Linked DNA regions of Schizosaccharomyces pombe. The protein of the gene in region 1 interacts with the protein of each later gene in a pairwise test. Each region holds a gene or a part of one and is shown on either strand. Other genes may lie near its edges.

Region 1 (4,181 bases):
TTGTAAAAACTAATAATATTCATGCATTTTCACTATACCGTGGGCCGGTTTCTGTGTTGCAGCTTAAAACAATGTGCATTTCCATCGTGTCATTAAATCTTTTAAATGAAAAATATCGGCAAATTTCTAAGAGTAAAATTGAAATGAGGTTTTGCATGTGATTTTTAAACAGCGGTCTTTTAATAGAAGTCAAAATATATTTTACATTAACACTTATAGTAGCTATTGTATTTCAAAGTTAGTTACTGACCAAAAGTTTTTTACTATGAAATATGTAGAAGCGTTTAGTTTCTAACTAGGTATCCATGTCTCCCCTTCTATTGGGATTTGCAAGTGCAATTGGGAATAAGATCTAATTCTTCCTCTGATCCATTAGTTTCATTATGTTATCTTTGTAAGGTATTAGCAAAAGATCATCAGAACCTAATAATTGGTTCTCTATTCAGAATTTGGTAGATCATTAGTGCAAGATTTCCTCCAATAAGAGAATTACCGCGAACAAATCTATTAAGCTTCAGTATAAGCTAATTGTCCAAAAAGAATAAGTTCTTTAATCACTTGAATTTTATAGCATCGAGTTTTGAAGGGGACACCATGGCAGGTTTCACAAAAGGCCTCGAGTTGTTTGGAACTACGTTGGAAGCAAAAAGATAGACATGATTACTTTTATACAAACAAGACTCATTAAACGACGTGCGTGTCTACTAGAAAAGGCTCACTTATATAATTAATAAAAAAAATCCAAAATTTGATATATTAAACCGTTGTTTACATATTTTCCAAATCTAAAAAAGGTTCAAGCCAAAAAAAATGCTTTAGGATATGTTGAAGTGAACATTCAAGCCAGTGAAATGTAAAAGCTCATAATTTGTTCTAGGTATCGAGATAACGTTCTATTTACATAGCCGATTTGAAAATAGCCTTTACCTCGTCATGTGTAGGCTGAATAGGGTTAGTAGCACCACAAGCATCCTTCATAGCGTGGTCAACCAAGACATCAAAATCTTTTTCCTTGACACCTAGATCAACTAGATGAGGACGAATTTTAACTTCAAGAACAAGTTGACTGATGCGGTCAAGAGCTGCTTCGGCAGTATGCTCTTCACAACCCAAGTGAAAAGCAATATCACCAAGGCGAGCATTTGCTCTTGGATCCCTAGAATTAAATTTCTGTACATGGGCAAGAAGAACAGCGTTACAGACGCCATGTGGAATACCGTAGAAACCACCAAGTTGATGAGCCATAGCATGAACATAACCCAAAGATGCGTTGTTAAATGCCATACCACCAAGGAATTCGGCATAAGCCATATTGTCTCTAGCCTCTTCGTCCTTGCCGTTGTCGACAGCACGCTTCAAATACTTATTAACGAGTTCGATGCATTTGACAGCACAAGCATCGGTGATGGGATTAGCAGCAGTAGAGACGTAAGCTTCAACAGCATGAGTCAAAGCGTCCATACCAGTAGCAGCGGTCAAGGAAGGAGGTAATCCATACATTGTTTCAGGATCGTTAACGGAAAGGATAGGCATAGTATGCTTATCGATAATAGCCATTTTAATATGACGGGTCTCTTCGGTGATAATTGCGAAACGAGTCATTTCAGAAGCAGTTCCTGCAGTCGTATTGATTGCAATCAAGGGAAGTTGAGGTTTGGAGGATTTATCAACACCTTCATAATCCGCAATTTTACCGCCATTAGTAGCTAACAAAGCAATACCTTTGGCACAATCGTGAGCAGAACCACCACCAATTGATACCATAGAATCACAGTTTTCCTTCTTAACGATTTCGAGACCTTGGTTGACATTTCCAACGGTGGGATTAGGTTGAACACCATCGTAAAGGTGAACAGTGATGCTTTGTTCTTCCAACAGAGCCTTAACTTTGTCATACAAACCGACCTTAATAATACCAGGATCGGTAACAATTAAGGTGTTTTTGAAGCCGCTCATCTTAATTTGCTTGGCGGCTTCAGCAAGACAACCTTTACCGAAAAGGTTGAAAGAAGGTATGTAGAATGCGCTAACAGGCATGGCTTTCGAAGAGGTTGATTGATGCTTTAAGCCATTAGTAAAAGATTGATTACAAGAGGAATGAAAGAGTGACGGAAAGAATCGAGCAGGCGATCGAATTAAACGAAATGGAGAACGAAGAATGGACATGTTAAAAAGAAAATCGCATCTAAAGCTTAACCTCCGATATTTTTTAGAATCAATAATATACAAAGTATGAAAAAAAATAAATAATTAGCCAAACGGAAAAGAAATATGTAACAATCGGTCAAAAAAGTCAAGGGGGAATGAGCCTTAAGTAGTGTACGAAAATTTCTCCAATATCAATGTGTAATCAATTAGTGTCTAAAATTTCGATACTTCCACTCCTTATCTCGCTTAACGAACACTTATCGAACATCGATCTTTTTACAACAATTTCGCTAAATAGATCTGCAGCCAACTCCAACGTCAAATAAATGCTAAGGAATTAAAAGATCTTCAAATGATTTTCAAAACAAAATTGCTTGTCACCAAAACTCTTTTCCAAACGACATCAAATCACCTCCAAACTGTCATTCTTTCCGCCATTATCATAAATTTTACTTACCAAAAAGTAGAAGATCAAATATTTCTCTACCCAAAAGGAATTGGAATATTCTGAAGCGTCTTGAGTATGAAGAGCGCCATTATATACAATTGTCTGAGTAACAATTCCAAGCAATATGAATGGTCACATTCCGTTTCTTTTACCCTCAAGTTGATAGGCAGTAAGTTCGTCGTAAGACATATGTAACATTTTTAGATTCCTGGGAGAACTTTTCCAAAACAAAGCAACCCGAATTACTGCAAACTTTGTGATTTTGGCATGCATGCCATCCAAATGCCAAAAAGTGCGTTACCTTAACGTTGGAACAATTCTCAAAAAGGGTTTTTTTCGTTATTTGACGTGATCGTCGTCGATGCTGATTGGCAGTAAAACCTCAAGATCTTCTAGAAGATCCACGGATTTACCATGTTTATGTGGATCACTGCGGCTCTGTCTCCAAGGGGAATATACGGTCAAAGCAATCGCATTATCGCTGGTTCATCTTCCGGTTCTTCTGGACAATTTTTTTGCTTATCGTAAAATCGGAATGAGAATGACTGCTGGCAACGTGCCTCCGGAATTTTTAGCACACATTGTTTGGCATTTGCGGCGCTGTAAAAATTTATGTTATTGTTTGTAAGAGGAGCATCAGAGCTTAGTTGAAGTGTTGGGATGAATACAAAAGTTTCTGAATTGGTTTGAAAGCGACATCTTTAAAGGGATTTTATACTATTTCACTAAAAATTAAAAATTTCTCTTTGACTCAATGCCCTTTAAAAAAAAATTAAAACTTTTTTATATATGAAAACACTTGGGAATAATTACATGGGCCTTTTTTCATGATGATCGAACAAAGGGGAAGTATGTCTAAGCAATCCTAAATAAGTTTATCGTCAAGTAAAAGAAACACAACGTTTTATTAAGAACTTGTAAATTAACAAGCTCGATCATATCGAAAGTAAAACAGCATGACAGTCTTAACTTCATACAAATTGTATTGTGGGCCGGATTTTCCAGCCCCACTTGAAAAGAAGGAAAAAAGAGAGAAAGGAAAAATACGGAATATTAGTTTTTTAATAGTTTTGACAAAAGGGCCAATCTGGAAGGTTAGTTCAATGGAAAGCACCAGTTATAATGGGTGCATCGAAAACCTTGACTGTAAATTTAGAAAGTCATTCATTGAAGAAATAATAGCCTACGAAGGTTTTGGCAAATATATAGAGGTAATCAATTTTTAAATTTTTTTTTTGTCAAAAAGGAAACATGATTGCAGGTAATCAACATGATCAAATGTACCTTTTTTTTTGGTAATCGAACCCCCATAACCCAAGTAGTAATTAAAATCAAAGAAAGTAGCAAATGATGGAAATGGTCAAACTTGGATTTGATTGTTTCATAAGGTCAAAATTCATCTCACAAATGTTCGTTTTTGTGTTATTTACCAATACATCATTCTCCTTTAAGAGCAAACACCATTGGATGAAGTATTTAAAAATCTATTGACTTTTTAAACCCCATTCTCCTAAATATCTGTTAATCGCCCGATTGTATAGGAAACGACAGCATAGTGAAGGATTGGCGACATAAACTTTAGTAT
Region 2 (4,469 bases), on another chromosome or scaffold:
ATGGTACACCGTATTTCTTTCTGCATGTTGACAATGCTTCCTAATTCATCTGATAATTTTCCTATACAATATCTGATGTAGACATCGAATTTTGCTTGACGATACCCATGACAAAGACAAGAGCCTTCTTTCATAAACTTCTTAATTATTTGATTTGAGAGTTCAAAGTCTGCTCTAGCATTGCTTAATCAACGAGTAGCAACATCTATAGAATTTGAGATTCACAATTCAGTACTCAAAATATGCTCCAAAAGAGAAGGTAAAAACCAAACAGCAATAATAAAGAAGGAACCTACAAAACCCCGGATTCCCATGTTGTCTCCAACCATAGTACTAACGAGGCCCTCAGACGCTTAACTGCAGTGATCGGACGGGAACTGGTGTTTTCGCCTAGGTATGGCCGTAGACATCTAGTGAAGAATTTTTGAATATTTATACTACAAAAAAAAAGACCAATATAATTCTAAGTACTTTTAGGATCGCTGAGAATCCATCGCTTATTCCATAAATACAATAATGTAAGCAAGCAATGTGTTTTAATCCAATGACATTTACTATCACAGATCATCTTGAAAGCTGAATGATTGTCTACCTTTTTAAGTTTGACATTTTCAATTCATTACAAATTACAATAAAATCAAAACGCTTGTATTGTGTGTGCATGCACCTTGTTACAAGTGAGCGAGCTAAATTAGCTACAGTGAAGATGAGTACTCGTTCTTATACGATTAAAACACTATGTCTTGAACCAAATCCATTAACATATAATTAACTCAATTTAAACGAAAGTGGCCAACTAGTTGAAAGTCAGCAAATAATAACTATCGTGAAAAGCATCAAATAACACTAAGCCTATCGGTAAAAGAAACATTAACATGTCGGTATGCAAAAAAATTTTTGGCTTAGTGTATTTTCCGCTTCGAGATGCAGTCATAAACACAAAGGTTGAATTTGTGCCTACCCAGTCCAAAAAAAAATACATATCCGTTGAACCAGGACTTAACATATAAAACCATATATCTTTCACAATTGAAGAACAAAGAAGCAAACATAGAATAAATAAAGACAACTCTAAAATCTTTTCATCTTTAAAGAAAACCATGTATCCATAAAGCCATCAACTGAGAATTCGTTACATGTTCTAATCGTATTTAACGTAACAAACGAGAAAAGCTAATGATAGCACTAAGCTATCTGTCTAAAACTTAAGCTCCTTAGGTTGTTCCCAAGGCTTGGATTGATCAGTGAAGTGACCGTAAGAAGCGGTGGAAAGATAGAAAGGAGTTTGAAGCTTAAGGCTTTTGACCAAAACACCAGGACGAAGGTCAAAGTTCTTGCGGATAATTTCAACAAGCTCAGCAGATGTCTTGGAAGAAGTGCCGTAAGTATTGACAAAAATAGAAAGGGGCTCAGCAACACCAATAGCATAGGAGAGTTGGACAAGGCAGCGGCGAGCCAAACCAGCAGCAACCAAAGATTTGGCAATCCAACGAGCAGCATAGGCGGCAGAACGATCGACCTTGGAGTAGTCTTTACCAGAGAAGGCACCACCACCGTGAGCACCCCAGCCACCATAGGTATCAACAATAATCTTACGACCAGTGAGACCAGCATCACCTTGAGGACCACCAACAACGAAACGACCAGAAGGTTGGATGTGGTAAACAGTCTTCTCATCTAACAAATGAGCAGGGACAGTAGGCTTAATGATCTTCTCCAAAATTTCAGAACGCAAGTCTTCAGTAGAGATGCTATCAGCGTGTTGAGCAGAGACGACGATGGTATCTACACGACGGGGGATGACAGCACCGTTTTCCTCTTCATATTCAATAGTGACTTGAGTCTTGGTATCAGGACGCAACCATGGAAGAGATCCATCACGACGAGCGACAGACATGGCAGCATTGAGTTTGTGAGCAAGGAGAATGGTCAAAGGTAACTTCTCGGGGGTCTCATCAGTTGCATAGCCAAACATAATACCCTGGTCACCAGCACCGAGCTCTTCCAAAGCCTTCTCATAGTGAAGACCTTGAGCGATATCAGGAGATTGTTGCTCGATGGCGACGAGGACGTTGCAAGTCTTGTAATCGAAACCCTTCTCAGAGTCATCATAACCGATGCTCTTAATGGTATTACGAATAACCTTTTGGTAGTCAATTTGTGAGCGAGTAGTAATTTCACCAAAAACCATTACCATACCGGTTTTGGAAGCGGTCTCACATGCTACCTTGGAAAAGGGGTCATCCTTCAAACAAGCATCCAAAATAGCGTCAGATATTTGGTCGCAAATTTTGTCAGGATGACCTTCACCGACAGATTCAGAAGTAAACAAAAAAGTTTGAGCCATTGGGGAATCCAAGATACTTGTAAAGGAAATATGGAATCAAAAAACTAGAAAAGATTGAACAATAAGACAAGCGATTAGTTTCGTCAAATATAAGGAAACAATGAAAACCCTTCTTTATCAATGAATCTAATAAATGTAGATATGCTTGCGAATTTCGTCAAAAGAAGCTCTCAAGGTTTCGTAAAGCAAGTAAGGTTATTCTTTAGCCTTATATGCTGATTATAGTTGTGACTGCTTATCAGGATGGTAGCGCCATTTTTTCAATTTCTTGAGCAATTTTAGAATAGTGATATCTGGTAGAGACAAATTGTTCTGCGCAATTGTTATTTAAAAGCAGGGGTAATAGTATGTTAAATTTTTTATAGTGCTAGACTGTAATGAATTAAAAAAATAAGGAAAGCACGAAAAAGTGTATTTCGTATTTTGATAAATCGCTGTATTTTCAATTTGAAGTAAAAGTAGAAGGGTCTTTGACTGTCAATTTATTTTTACAATTATGTTTACGATTGATGAACTATATACTGCAAATTTAGTAGATATTTAAAGAAGCTTGAATATATAATAAACCCAGCTGTCCCCTTAGATATTGGCTGGACTTGGGCATTGAGTGTGCTAATGCAATGTGCATCTTATAAGTATTTATGCAGATTGAAGGATGTTTTTCTTTTCTTCATTCTTATGTTTTTTAATTGCAAAAACTGGCTCTTCCAAACTTTCATATCTTTGACCAATTATTTGGTCTGCAATTAAATGGGCAATGACTTAGCGCTAGGTCCGTATTGGCAATAAAAAATTTTCGTAATGACGATTTAAGAAAATACATCTTTCTACAGTCTCAGAAACTTGAATTTATCTTTTTTATTTATTTTATTCGAAATGTAATGTAGCATTTTTATAAACTGTAGTAGGTTGACTGGTAGTACAAGCAAAAAATTGGGCGCACCTTAAGTTGTCCTTTGCCAACTGCACCCTACTCAACACCATGAGCGAAAGTCTTACTAGAATCGCCATTGTTAGTGAGGATAAGTGTAGACCAAAGGTAAGAAAATAAAAAAATTAAAGGAGCTTTATTAGTAGAAGGTTATAGTCTACTCGTTGTGGATGACTGGAGCTTTTTTGTGTGTGCACAAAGTTTTCCACGAAAAGAGTTGAGTCAAATTTTGTTTGTTCAAGTATTAAAACATATTTTAACTGCCCTGATTGTACCTCTGTTCAGATTTTTTGATCCTGTTACGATCTGCCAAGCACTTTCGGACTAGTAGTAAATTTTTGCTTGGCTTGGCTGTCACCATATGTTGGTTAAACGAATCTAAAGGTTCTTGTAAGGTAAAGGACCGAAAATTTAAATAAACTTTCAAAGTGGTCTGTGTCACGTTAAAATACGTTTTATTGCTTGCTTACGAAACTTTCCTTTGCTTTTAATGCTTCTGGTTTTAGAATGTTTGGTTTTTATTAGTTTGCTCACCAATATTTTAGAAATGTCGGCAAGAATGCCGCCGGTCTTGCCCTGTCGTGCGCACCGGTAAATTGTGTATTGAAGTTAATCCTACCGATCGCATTGCATTTATTAGTGAAACATTATGTATTGGTTGTGGTATCTGTGTCAAAAAATGTCCATTCGGAGCTATCAACATTATTAATTTGCCCACTAACTTGGAAAGTGAAGTAACCCATCGTTACTCTGCTAATTCTTTCAAGCTTCATCGTTTGCCTACTCCTCGTCCTGGTCAAGTTTTGGGCTTAGTTGGTACTAACGGTATTGGAAAGTCTACTGCGTTAAAGATCCTATCCGGAAAAATGAAGCCTAATTTAGGTCGTTATGATAATCCTCCTGACTGGGCTGAAGTTGTCAAATACTTCCGTGGTAGTGAACTTCAAAACTTTTTCACCAAAGTTGTTGAAGATAACATTAAGGCTCTTATCAAACCTCAATACGTTGATCATATCCCACGGGCGATTAAAACTGGTGACAAAACTGTATCTGGTTTAATTAAAGCTCGTGCAAACAACAATAATTTTGAAGAAGTTATGGATCACACCGATCTTCAAAATCTTTTAAATCGTGAGGTTGGCCATCTTTCTGGTGGTGAGCTTCAACGATTTGCTATTGCTGCCGTAGCCA

Evidence for each region.
Region 2: the proteins of adh4 (region 1) and sam1 interact in a two-hybrid assay, tested with the Schizosaccharomyces pombe proteins (one large-scale study listed by BioGRID).

Annotation. Positions count from the first base shown.
Region 1 is NC_003424.3:155,651-159,831, forward strand, and holds adh4 (alcohol dehydrogenase Adh4), read right to left. Parts: upstream 2,283-4,181; 5' UTR 2,038-2,282; coding exon 898-2,037; 3' UTR 780-897; downstream 1-779. Other genes in the region: SPOM_SPAC5H10.07 (uncharacterized protein), read left to right, coding at 3,553-3,822. UniProt on the Schizosaccharomyces pombe protein: Involved in ethanol oxidation in mitochondria.
Region 2 is NC_003423.3:4,161,330-4,165,798, forward strand, and holds sam1 (S-adenosylmethionine synthetase), read right to left. Parts: upstream 2,530-4,469; 5' UTR 2,348-2,529; coding exon 1,199-2,347; 3' UTR 740-1,198; downstream 1-739. Other genes in the region: Fe-sulfur ATPase Rli1, read left to right, coding at 3,330-3,386, 3,824-4,469. UniProt on the Schizosaccharomyces pombe protein: Catalyzes the formation of S-adenosylmethionine from methionine and ATP. The reaction comprises two steps that are both catalyzed by the same enzyme: formation of S-adenosylmethionine (AdoMet) and triphosphate, and subsequent hydrolysis of the triphosphate.